Mytilus edulis: one gene and its partner. The protein of the gene in region 1 interacts with the protein of each later gene in a pairwise test. Links are inferred from orthologs where the notes say so. Each region holds a gene or a part of one and is shown on either strand. Other genes may lie near its edges.

Region 1 (7,154 bases):
TGCTCTTGTAATGCTTTACCTTTAATATTCAACATTGTATCTACCAACCGTACTGGAAACCCTATGATTTCTCTTCTATCTTGACCGACCAACACCTGTGAAGTTATCACTGAGAATCTGCTTATAGATTCAAAAACCTACCACGTTATGATCTTAGACTGCTGTAATAATAGTACCAAGCACCTCACATGAAACTACCACGTTCAGGGGCGGATCAAGCCATTTTAAAAAGGGGGGTTCCCAACCCAGGATAAAGGGGGGGTTCCAACTATATGTCCCCATTCAAATGCATTGATCGGCCAAAAAAAAGGGGGGGGGTTCCAACCCCCGGAACCCCCCTCTGGATCCGCAACTGACGTTATGACCTGAGACTATTTTGGTAGTTGTACCAAACACCTCACAGAAAACTTCCGCATTATAATCTAAGACTACTGTTAAAGTAGTACCAAGAACCTCATATGAAACTATCCCGCTATGATGTGAGACTACTGCATAGTAGTACCAAGCACCTCACATGAAACTACTGTGTTATGATCTGAGACTACTGTAATAGTAATACCAAGCACCTCACTCGAAACTACCGCGTTATCTGAGACTACTGTTATAATTATACCAAGCACCTCGGATAAAACTATCGCCCTATGATCTGAGACAACTGTAATAGTAGTGCCAAGCTCCTCACATGAAACTACCACGTTATCATCTGAGATTACTTTCATAGTTATACCTAGCACCTCACATGAAACTACCGCATTATCTGAGACTACTGTAATAGTAGTACTGAGCAAATCATACGAAACTACCCCGTTATGATCTGAGACTACTGTAATAGTAATACAAAGCACCTCACATGAAACTACCACGTTACGATCTTGGACTGCTGTTATAATAGTACCAAGTACATCACATGAAAGTATCACGTTGTGATGTGAGACAGCTGTACTAGTAGTACCAAACACCTCACATGAAACTACCTCGCTATGATCTGAGACTGTTGTCATAGTAATACTAAGCACCTCACAGAAACTACCGCCTTATGATCTGAGACAACTGTAATAGTAGTACCAAGCGCCTCACATGAAACTACCACGTTATGATCTGAAATAACTGTCATAGTAATACCAAGCACTTCACATGAAGCTACCTCGTTATCTGAGACTACTGTAATAGTAGTCCAAGCACCTCAAACGAAACTATCCCGTTATGATGTGAGACTATTGTGATAGTAATACCAGGCACCTCACATGAAACTACCACGTTATGATCTCAAACTGTTGTAATAATAGTACCAAGCACCTCACATAGAACTATCCCGTTATGATCTGAGACTACTGTAATAGTAATACTAAGCACCTCACATGAAAATGCCGCATTATGATCTGAGACTACTGTAATAGTAGTACCAAAAACCTCACATGAAAATACCGCGTTATCGGAGACTGCAGTAATAGTAGTACCAGCCACCTCGTATGAAACTATTCCGTTATGATCTTAGACTACTGTAATATTAGTACCAATAATTTCACATGAAACTACCGCATTATGATCTGAGACTACTGTAATGGTAGTACCAAAAACCTCACATGAAACTTATGCGTTATGACGTGAGACTACTATAATACTAGTACCCATCATCTCACATGAAACTACCGCGTTGTGATCTAAGACTACTGTTATAGTAGTACCAAAAACCTCATATGAAACTACTGCGTTCTGAATTTAGACTACTGTAATAGTAGAATCAAAAACCTTACATGGAACTACCGCATCATGATCTGAGACAACTGTCATAGTAATACCAAGCACCTCAAATGAAACTATCGTGTTATGATCTATAACAACTTTGGCAGTAGTACAAAGAACGTCTCATGAAACGACCATGTTATGATAAGAGAAAACTGTAATAGTGAGTACCAAACACCTAACATGAAACTACCGTGTTATGATCTGAGAAAACTGTAATAGTGAGAACCAAACACCTAAGATGAAACTACCGTGTAATGATCAGAAAAAACTGTAATAGTGAGTACCAAACACCTCACATGAAACTTTGCGTTATAAACTGCGACTACTGTAATAGTAGAATCAAAACCTCACATGAAACTACCGCGTTATGATCTGAGCCAACTGTAATATAGAGGGGGACAATAGCATGTTAACAACACCTCGATTTTGGAAAAAAACAGTCAACTACAAATGCAGAAATACTGATAACAGTTAACACAGTAGGTTGAAAACAATTAACAGTCTAAATTTATTTTAGATAACAGTTAACAACACCTTGAAAAAGGCCAAAACAGGTTAACAAAAAAATGTATCCCCCCTTATCCCCCCACGTAATAGTTAGTACCAAAAACGTCACATAAATTCCCGCGTTATGATCTAAGACTACTGTAATAGTAGTACCACTGAAGAACCTCACATGAAGAGACAACTGTAATAGTAGTAACAAGAACTTCACATGAAACTACCGCGTTATGATCTAAGACTACTGAAGTACGAAGAACCTCACATGAAACTACTGCGTTATGATCTGAGACTACTGTAATAGAAGTACCAAATACCTCACACAAAACTACCGCGTTATGATCTGAGACTTCTGTAATAGTGGTATCAAGAAAATCACATGAAACTATCGCGTTATAGTTTGAGACTATTGTAATAGTTGTACCAATAACCTCACATGAAACTATCGCGTTATGATCTGGGACTACTGTAATAGTAGTACCAAGAACTTCACATGAAACTACCGCGTTATGAACTGAAACTATTGTAATACTAGTACCAAGAATCTCAGATGAAACTACTGCGTTATGATCTGAGACTGTTGTAATAGTAGTACCAAGAAAATTGCATGAAACTACCGCGTTTTCGTCAATTCTGACCACAATTGCAAGACTTTTTTAAATGTCCCCATGTGTAATAAAATCTAGAACCAATATGATGAAAGTGTAATACAGATGGAAATTTCATAGAAATTCCACATATCGTGCATTTACGAATCTCCAAACATAAAACGACTAAACTATACACGATAATGGGGTAAATAATTTTGACGTGGCCCAAATTTGTGTCCGCGTTGATTCATTTTGAGCTGCCACAGACAACTTTCAATGGAATAGGATTTAAAATTAAAAAGTACTTTTCTATGTAGCTATGATTAGTGTGGCGTTCATTATCACTGAACTAGTATATATTTGTTTAGGGGCCAGCTGAAGGACGCCTCCGGGTGCGGGAATTTTTCGCTATATTGAAGACCTGTTGGTGACCTTCTGCTGTTGTTTTTTTTTTCTATGGTCGGGTTGTTGTCTCTTTGGGACATTCCCCATTTCCATTCTCAATTTTATGAATAAGTTGTTCTCAGATTAAACTGATTGGAATGAATTATATCATTCGTGTTAAATTCTAAATCTCCTTCGGCTTCCGGAAATTCTCTTATTATATATAATTTCGTATTTAAAACAACTCTCACTGCTGTGACGGCAACAAATTTAGATAAACACAACGCAGAGGGGTCTTACATTCAAATTTTTTCAAAGGAGTATATTAATTTTATTCAAAGTTATAACAAAAACTCACTTTTAAATCTTTGTACTTGATTCCTTCCAAACTGTTGAAATGACATTTGAATGTATTTTAATTGATGAAAGTTTAAGTAATACGATTTATACAAGATTCAGTTTTTCATTTATATGGATATTCAAATAAAATTATAATAAAATGTTAGCGGAGTTGCGATATTAGTTCAGGAGATTTATTTTCTTATTTCTATCCTCCATTTAAATTAATAAGTTATTTAGCATAAGAAAACCTACTGACAATATTACATAACAAACAGAAAAGAAACCCTACAAAGTGTTTTACGTAAATCGCTCGGTCTGAAAATGCGCATTAGGCTATCTTTGATTGAATTATCTTTATATATTGAACATACATAAATTATGAAACTAAAAATCGCATCATGCTCGGTTTAGCGTAGTAATTTAATTTAAAAGTTTTGAAGTGCATTGAATTCCTATATTTGGCTATTGTTTGACTTCAAATGCGTCAGTGGATATTTTAAAATTTCACTTATCATGCTGAAATATATACATAATTCTGTTTTTTTTGTTAATGCAGTAATAATAAATGTATACAAAATATCAATGCATTAGTTTGTATAAATTATCAGTTCTTGATAATTTGCAGAAATTTTCTACTGGCTGTTTTGGATTTGCTTTGCCCAATTAGAATTGTTCAATCAATCAATGTTAATCAAAATACTTCTACTTTTGCAAGACTTGTCTTAGACAATGACGGAAAGTCGACCAAAACCTTGACAGTGCGCATGACTAAGGAAACTTGTAAAACATTAGAACTGTTTTAATAAGTAGTTTATTACTCTTTTTTCATCGATGGGTTTACTTTATACCGTGTGTTACAAAATGCTACCTGTTTTCTTGTAGTATGCACGGTTGAACGGAAAATTTTCACCATGAATGAACAATCATTTTTTCAATGGGATTTGGTACGCCAGCCTCTTCAGGGTCAAGCCTTTGGCATGGGGGCATCCCTTCTTGATTTCAGGTAAGCTTAGCGATAAAAAAAAATATATCATTTATATTAAGAGAAAATATCAAATATGTGTTTTTGAATATTTTATGAGAAAGCAATACAAATAATGAAAAAATGAAAATAAAAATAAAAATAAACATAGTGTACGAAACCTGCATAATTGCATTCATGTTCGATAAAAAGTATTAATTAGCGAATACAGTTGTAAATTAAATCATCAACGTCAGAAAATATCCAATTCAAATTTCATATGCTATCAACATTTATGGCTAAATTCAAATTTGATTTTCAAGTTTCACATATACGCAACTGGACAATTAGAATATCAATTATACATTAATATATTTTATGTATGTTAAGCCCAGCGTAATTTTACTCTAGAAAATTGAAAAATCAAACTCCGATAGTAAATTATATTTTTACGAATAAAAATAAGGAGACTTTCATGCACCGTTACATAGAAAACTGTCTTAATAAAACTGAAAGTACAATAAATTTTTAACCTTAACTAATTAATAATCGCAAAGACATTAGTTACATTGTCGTCAATTTTTTCCCCCAGTTATTTAAAACGATTGTAATTCCGAAAAGAACAAAAAATAAAAGTGTTAATTTGAAAGAAAAAGAAATATCAAACAACCTTTTACTGAACTTAAGACGAAGCATATATGTGCAAACAGAAATCAAATATTTCGTTTATGTGTTTTTATTCGAATTGAATTACAAAATTACATAAATTACTATAAAATACCCCTTACTTCTATCCTAAAAACTGGAATATATCTTTTACAACTGACTTAAGTTTTAACCTATATAGTCACGTTATCTTGGTTTTAACCTAACTTTTCTCCATTTGATATAGAATTATACGGACACTTCAATTTTTAACTGAGATTTTATGTATTTATTTCATGAGTATCAAAAGCATTTTAGTAGAAAATAAAACTGTTCATTTATTTGCTTTTATTGATTGACAAAATGGCAGTACCGATTTGTTTAAAAAAAAATCAGGATCAAGCACTGATTTCAGATTTTATTTTTTATTAATTTCTAAATAATATACAAAAATCTGATATGTAACTTAATGATTAATGAATTAAACACATTCTTCATTACATACATTAATGCCTTTCAGTGGTGTTGGTGAACTATGCATCGTTTTGTGACAGATGCATGTTAAAAGAAATTTTCTCGTTTAAAAAATGTAAATAAAACAAATTCCAATTTAACCTCAAAGATTAAACAATAATCCCACAAAGATATCCTCCCTAATTATTCATGTGTCCTGTATGTGTAATATCATTCATCTTTAAGTCAAATTTATTTTTAATGAGACAAATACAACGTATATATTAGATATAACAATTTTTGGGGGTTGAACCGCCTTACATTAACATTAAAAACAAACGAACCGTATTTTACATGTAAAAGTTTCAGCCTCAATTTAATTCCTAGTATTCTAATTTCTATGTGTTGGCATTTTGTACATTTTACTACAAAGATTGTGGTTCACTGTTTTTTTATGTATTTAATCTGCAGTTTCTATAAGTTATTGACAAAGCATTTATTATAAACCATATAAACTTTAATAAAGCTAAATGAAATGGCGAAGTGCATGGCCATTTGGAAAAATGTTATTTTAGAGGCATATGAAAAACCCTGCTTGTTTTCAGAATAATTTTGACAGTTGGAGAAATTATGTTTTATATCTCATCAAAACGAATACTTCGAGAAGGTTTTAGCTGTTATATTGGTGACATCCAATTGGGGAGGGGGGGTTCCTTCCTACCCTTACTTTCTTAAAAACATATATAGAAACACTACAAGAAATTGAACTCTTTAGTTGGTTAAGAAGGTATAGGTTGTATCCGTTGTGACATCTGCTGGCGTGTTGCATGAGTGGTACCACAAGGAGAACAAAAACTACTTATCTCATCCATAGATGTATTACATCTATGTCTCATCTGAGCCATCTCAACACATTACTTTACTCCAGGGAATTGAATGGGATTTGTTTTAAATCTATATATACTATATATATGGTTTTCTGTGTATTGTTTTGTCCTTCCGCAACGGAGTTGCATAACGTTCTTGGACGGATTTGAACTGTCCTCTTTTTCTTCCCTTTCTAGTTTGCATGCTTAAATGAATTAGAATGTGAATTTTGTGTAGAAAAAATGAATTTCAAGAGTTTTTTTTAAATTCATTTTCATTTTTGATCGTTAAACATTTTTTTTTTTAATTATTATTGATTTTATTCTAACATGTATTGCCTAAAAATAATATATTATACATATGCGATCTGGATTTAAAGATTTTGTAATTAAATGATGATTCAGTCACTCCCTTGTAAAGCTATCTTAATAAACAGAATGAAACAAAGATAACAGTTGTCGTTAATTTAACCCCAAAAAAATATTATAGAAAATAGAAGAAAATGAAACAACCACCAAGGTATACAGACAGAAAAATTAAAGTATTATGTCAGTGATTTGTTTTTTACTTCTCTGGAATTACACCACTAGAAGCGTTCAACTCTAAAAATTTGAAAGCAGAAGATTTAAAAATATTAAGATATTTTAAAATTCATTCGTTGTATG
Region 2 (7,283 bases), on another chromosome or scaffold:
GACACATTCTTGTTCTTCTGTGTCTAAACAAAGTGTTTATAAACTTACTAGTTTGTGTGAAATATTACTAGTCTTGAGCATCAGGCTTGTTGCTAAAGGTGCAGACTGATGACGGGATTGCTTCCCTTCATTAGTAGGTACTCAATCGGCCATAAGCTGTTAAGCTTATTATAACATGTATAAGGAAGTATAGGAATGTATAGAAATGGCAGATTTGATTATATACCTATTACTTCCCTCAGAATATATGATGTAAAAAAATGATGTATTTGTTTCAAAGAAAAGACATTTATAAAATCTGGATAATAACAAAAATGCAAGTCTGGCAGGTTTATGTTATTTGTAATGTAAGTTGATTTTATAATCATTAGGTATTGATTGAAACAGTGCATTTGCATTGCCCCTTTCTGGAAAATTTGCAATAAAAATCCAATGAAAGATCATAACACTTAACATGCTTTTAATATACAACATCCTTCAAAAACGCCTCTCTTCTTCTATGATTGAAATACAAAAATGTATTTTAAAAAAGCCTCAAAAATGAAAACTTCTTTATCTTAGGACACCAGATTGACCAGAATATGGCAGAATATAAATTTCATGATGATATTATCATTTATGGAAATGAAAATTCACCTAGGTAACCCTATAATATTACATGTATCTAAAATCAATAAGCAAGCCTTAATTATTAGAGGATTGAGAATTACCGTTATAGTATCCATACATGTACATGTATATGTTTGAACATAGAAATGAGGCCAAAACAGCCATTTACAGGTAAGTTTTAAGAGACAAATATCTAAGATTTTATTTGGTCATTTTATATTTTGGTTCCCAGAGTTATTTTTTGTTGTTATTTCTTTGGTTGATAAAATGTAAAGTTAAAGCTTGAAATTTGAAACTGTGAACATGATGAGTACAATATCAAATTGCAATATATTAGTAATTGTTTTGCCAATTTATTGACCGACATGTCTGTACATAGACAAATGTGTTGAGCTAATTTATTCTGCAGAAAATATTGCTATATATTTCTACTTTGTTCCCCACCATGTTTTAATGAATGGGACACCAACAGCTGATTTGAGATTATGAATGGGACACCAACAGCTGATTTTAGAATTATGAATACAACTCTTCTCATCTTTCCAACAGTGATTTGTTTCACTTTAATTTTTCTCAATTCCTTGCACATTTATGTCAGATCTGTTAATTTTTGTATCCCAACTTGGCCATTAGTTATCTTGATGTAATCAGGGGTGTACAAAATTTTACACCGTTGTTGAAAATTCATACACCCTGAGACGCAGCCTCACTTACTATTTTGATGTAAGGAGAGACTGATCATAATCTCTTACTAGTAAATTGATTAAAACATTTGCATGGTCTGAAATAAGATTTTGTACTATTCCTCCCTACTTAAACAAATTCTCATTCTTTTATAACTTATAACTTATAATAGCATTATAATATCTTATAATATATACATATATATAGATGTCCAATATCTATCTATATGTAAGTTACATATATATATAGATGTCCAATATCTATCTGTATGTAAGTTACATATATATATATAGATGTCCAATATCTACCTGTATGTAAGTTACATATATATATATATATATATATATAGAATTGGACATCTAATAGATGTCCAATATCTATCTGTATGTAAGTTACATATATATTTATAGATGTCCAATATCTATCTGTATGTAAGTTATATATATATATAGATGTCCAATATCTATCTGTATGTAAGTTACATATATATATATATAGATGTCCAATATCTACCTGTATGTAAGTTACATATATATAGATGTCCAATATCTACCTGTATGTAAGTTACATATATATAGATGTCCAACATCTATCTGTATGTAAGTTACATACATATATATAGATGTCCATTACCTACCATTAATTATCAATGTGTTTGTCGTGGATAGGTGTTATATAAATATGATAGATCATAAAGTATCACCAATGCCTACTAATCAATAATCTTGCTGAGTGTTATAAAAAACATATTATGTATTGTTTATAGTACACAGTTTTTTTTAATTAAAGATCATATCCCTAAGTCGCTGTTCCATAAATTTTCCAAAATTTATATAACAAAATGTATTGTGTTGATGTTGGTGTTGAGGCTTATTTTTGTTTGTTAGAAATATGAAATACTGTTGTTTTTACAGACAATTTGTTTCTATTTTTTAATCCTATCCAATAATTTGATGATTACCTATAAGTATTAATGTCATCTTGTAGTTCTTTGATTTTTGATATTTTTACAATTGTCAGTGACTTATTTCTTTAAACAACTTATTGACAGTCAAACAAACATCAAAAGTAATGAAGTAATCAATTTAATCTTGAAATTTTCAGGTAAAATTGATCGTATGTTAGTTTGTAATTGTAGTTCCTCTGAAATTACATGACAAAAATTAAGTAGAGAATACATAATTACTATGTAGGTTTGCATATTGACATGACATTATTTTTTTTCTAGGAGTTATACCCCTTTGAACTTATTTTTTTTTGTCTACATACTACTGCAACTTGTCATGGTATCTCCTTTGAAACCACACAACAGAATTTCATGAATCTTTGTGGAAAATAAAGAGATGCAATGTAGATGTGCCTATTGACGTGAAATTAGGATTGATTTTTTTCTCAAGATGTTATACTCCTTTGAACTTAGAAAGTGGGCTGAAATATACAACTGCAACAGTTTGTCTTCATCACTCCTCGACGTCCACACTTTGTAGTTAATGAGGACATTATATATAGGTGTGCATATTTACAATAAATCTTTTATCAGTTGACTTTTTTAGAAGTTACAAGTCTTGAACTTGGAAATGATTAATCTGATGAGATTTTGTTTGCCAGTGACAATGTGGGGAAAGTGTATATGAGCATGCTCACAAAAGCTCTTTAATTTAAAATATCCACATATTTTGTCCCAGGCTGTATTTATGCCTGCACTGTAGTGTAGGGACTTCAATTTTACCCTTGTCTGTTTGAACATCCCAGTATTGGTTTTCGTTCTCTCTCTATATATATATATAATATGACTTTAGTTTGCTGCTAGATTTTTGGGTTTCTGGAAACCTTTACAAATATTTGTTTGCATAAATAATGACCATACATTCTATTTCTTTGCTAAAAATATTAGAAAAAAAGTGTTCATGAAGAAAACTTCGACTAATTATTTACTTACCAATGTCTCTGTTGTCATAGTTAATTTGGAAATAGAGTAGTCAAAATTAACATGCTGATTTCATGCATTTCCTCCATTTAAAGTAATCTAAAGTTATTTTTCTTAGAAGCATTTGCACCAGCTAAAATGGCTTATCCAAATCTGCATTACTGTTTCAAATGTTGGCTATCAAATAATGCCATTGGTTGAATAATAAAAAAAAAAATCATTTACATTTCCAAGGTTATGTAATACAAATTAGATAAATTATATACATGTAACACGCTTTTGGAAATTGAATATGTTTGTTCTAATGAAATGAAGATTTAATTATTTCAATGAACTTGACCCATTAATTAAACATTTGACATGACATGAGTAAATTTCCCTGACATTTATGCCATTTACTGCACACGACAAGGTAAAAAAATCTTGTAGCAAAGTTAAATGTACATCATGAAATATGTTACAAACGTAAATTGTAAGGAGAAGTGCATACAGTTGTTAAAAATTCCTCCTTTTGGCATTATTATATTTGTAGTGTGTTCACATGTAGAAAGGATTATAAATGAATCTTAACACCTTAGTTTGAAATTTTGTGGATTTTCACATTTCAATTGGCAAAGATCATGATGTGTCTAATTCCAGAAAATCATTTCATTATAATTGTGTAGGCTGTACAGAAAGAGATTTTTTATATATTGACAGTCCCAGAGGGAATTAAAAAAATGTGTACATATATGAGAATGGAGCAAATATGATGTTTACATAATCAATACTTTCGATTTTATTCTTAATTTTTATATGATTAGTATTACATGAAATTATGTACAATTTAAGTTCAATTTGAAAATAATCTATGAAAGACAAAATATAGCAATAAATGACAACATGGAAGCTTAATTTAGATTATCTGTAACTCGATATTAATCTGATACAGATTATGTGTTTCAATCCTAAAAACACCTAAGCTTAATCCACATATTTATGCAAACGTCAAAAGACTTTGCGTTAGATTTTGCATTTAATTAGAAATAAAAATTGATGAAAACAAGATGGATTATTCAAGAGGAAGTTACCCAGGTTACGAACAGACATCTCAAAATTCTCAGATGTACTTGCCTCAGCAATATGGACCTCCTACCCATCCGTCTTATGGAAGAGTTTTTTATGGTTTGTAAAAGATTTTTTATATTGTCTTTTTCAATATTTTCTCTATAATGAGCCGTCAGAAAGATTGACATTAACAGCTTTGTTTTTATGGTTATAGACCGAGATGCTGGAATATATGTAAAATAAGGCGGTTAGTTTTCCTGTTTGTCTTGTTTTACATTGCCTTTTATAGCTGACTATCAGTTTGGCTTTGCTCATTGTTGAAGGCTTTACGGTGACCTATAAGTGTTAATTTCTGTGTCATTTTGTCTCTTGTGGAGAGTTGTCTCATTGGCAATCATACCACATCATCATTTTTTTTTAAATATATAAGAGTGATTCATAAGAAACTAGATGGCTTTTATTTTTCTTTTGTTCATGAATTTATGTTTCATTGAAATTTATTAAGAGTTAATTTTCCAATTCTTTTATTGAAAAAGAGCACCATGGAAAATTTAAAACTAAAGAAAGAATAGTTGTTGTGTATTGGAAAAGACTAGCATAATTGGTGACTAAAAAAAATAATTTCCTGCTCTAGCAGATATTTTATTATTACCTGTCATGAAATGAATCATGACTGGATTAATTCATTGTCATTAATACATGTACTAATTTTCGTGTATAAATCTATATTTTTATACAAACTCAAAAAGGGTATTACATTGGCGTCGTTGTTGTCGGCATCCGAAGACATTTGTTTTTAGCACTTTAGTATAAGTTAATATCAATCTATGAAATTTTAACACAAGGTTTATGACCACAAAAGGAAGGTTTGGATTGATTTTGAAAGTTTTGGTCCCAATGAATTAGGGGCCAAAAGGGTCCAAAATTAAACTTTGTTTGATTTCATCAAAAAATGAATTATTTGGGTTCTTTGATATGCTAAATCTATCTGTGTATTGAGATTCTTAATTTTTGGTACTGTTTTCAAATTGGTCTATATTAAGGTCCAAAGGGTCTAAGATTAAACTTAGTTTGATTTTAACAAAAATTGAATTCTTGGGGTTCTTTGATATGCTGAATCTAAACATGTTCTTAGATTTTTGATCAACTTTTTAATCACAATCCAAATTCAGAGCTGTATCAAGCATAAATGTTGTGTCCATACTTGCCCAAGGGTTTGACCTCTGCGGTCATATAAAGCTGCACCCTGCTGAGCATCTGGTTAAAATATATTACAGTGGTTATTCAGTGACCTTTGGGGTATCACAATAGCAACAAAAGTAATACTTACCATCAAGATCGAGTTAGTTGATATCTTTGCCATTCTTTTCAAACAAAAAAATGACTTACTATAGTATGAGTCACTGAATAAAAAGGTATAATTTTGAGATGAAAACTTCTAGCATATTAAATAGATTTCATAAATAAATAATTCAAACCATTGTTTTGTAGATATATATTTTATAGCTTTGTCTTCTAAGACAAAGTTATTGTGTAATTATGTTTCTTATAATATTTTCTATACAAATTACTGATCTGCTGGCATTAAAGGGAAATAATTTTTATTGAGTTATTGTTCACTAAAAAAATAATCAATGATACCAGGCTTATGCTTTTGCCTACAAAAAAATCCTCAATACGTCTTGAATAAAAAAAAATTGAAATGCCAAATTAGGAGGAAGTTGAAGGGCATTTCGGACATAAATTACAAAGGTTTTGCCAAATACTGCTTATAAGTTATCTTGTGCTCCATGGTAGAGAATCCTTAGTACTTTGAACAATGCAAAGTCTTGCAAAACAGCTGTTAATCTATAATTTTACCATATCATAAAAACTCATGTCAAAATTAAAGGAGTAGGGGCATTAAGGCCTGGTTTTGGCCCAAGAAAATAAAATGTTTGATAACTTTTTCAAACATAATCTTTAGAAATGCATAGGGTCAAGAAATATAAATGAAAAACATTAAGATTCTTATGTGATGACGTCACAATTACGTCATAATATATACTGTTTTCACAAAAACGATGAAAATTAAGAATTTATGCAGTTTTCTATCTTTATTTCTGTTGTGAAAACATCGTGCGCAGCCAAGAAACAACAAAATAATTTAACTGAAGCTTTATCATTACTATTGACAAAATCTCACCAAATATAAAGTTGTTTCTTGGGTGCGCACATACTTTTCCAATCGAAAATATACTTAACAATTTGATGAAAACAAGGAAAATCACAAAATTTTACAAAATATGCAAATTAAGGCATGATTTGTTGCCATGGTAACTTGTTTAATGTCCAAAATTATTTTGTTTTTCTGAATACCTTCTACCTGAGATACTTTTCAGTAATTTTAAAATATGTATGATAACTTTTAAATTTGCAGTAATTTTTGGGCCAAATAAGGGCCTTATTGCCCCTAATCCTTACTGACTACTAGACTGGTGATAATTTACGGGGGAATTTGTATGATTTATAGAATTTTGAATGTGTTCAATAATAGGTTTTTAACATTTTTTTTTTCAAAATTTTAATCATCTTAAAAATAAATTTCATTGTTCTTTTCAAAATAGAGGATAAATGTTTAATAATCATAAAAATAATGTTACAAACAAATTAAATGAGGAAAGTTGATATTTGTCAGACAAAAATTGTCACAAAATTTTGCTGATTTTCAGTAATGTAAATTATTTCCCTTTAATGGTAGCAGATAAGTAATTGCTTTAGAAAAAAAGATCCAAATTACAATTATGCACTAACTTGTTGTTGGAAAACGGAGCTATAAATTATAGACTTACAAAACAATGTTTTGAACTATTTATTTATAAAATCTATTTATGATAGAAGTTTCCTTGTCAACATTAGACCTTCTTATTCAGTGACTCGTACTATAGTAAGTCATTATTGTGTTTGAAAAGAATGACAAAGATATAAACTAATTGGATCTGGATGGTAAGTATTACTTTTGATTTTAAAGCACTTA

What was found. The genes of interacting proteins can lie anywhere in the genome.
Region 2: the proteins of protein trachealess-like (region 1) and aryl hydrocarbon receptor nuclear translocator homolog interact in a two-hybrid assay, tested with the Drosophila melanogaster proteins (3 studies listed by BioGRID). The link is inferred for Mytilus edulis from reciprocal best matches to the Drosophila melanogaster genes trh and tgo.

The regions. Positions count from the first base shown.
Region 1 is NC_092346.1:74,486,477-74,493,630, forward strand, and holds the start of protein trachealess-like, read left to right. Parts: upstream 1-4,115; 5' UTR 4,116-4,474; coding exon 4,475-4,566; intron 4,567-7,154. UniProt on the Drosophila melanogaster protein: Transcription factor, master regulator of tracheal cell fates in the embryo, necessary for the development of the salivary gland duct, Malpighian tubules and the posterior spiracles.
Region 2 is NC_092347.1:3,963,944-3,971,226, reverse strand, and holds the start of aryl hydrocarbon receptor nuclear translocator homolog, read left to right. Parts: upstream 1-4,186; 5' UTR 4,187-4,266; coding exon 4,267-4,384; intron 4,385-7,283. UniProt on the Drosophila melanogaster protein: Heterodimers of tgo/trh are involved in the control of breathless expression. Plays a role in the cellular or tissue response to oxygen deprivation.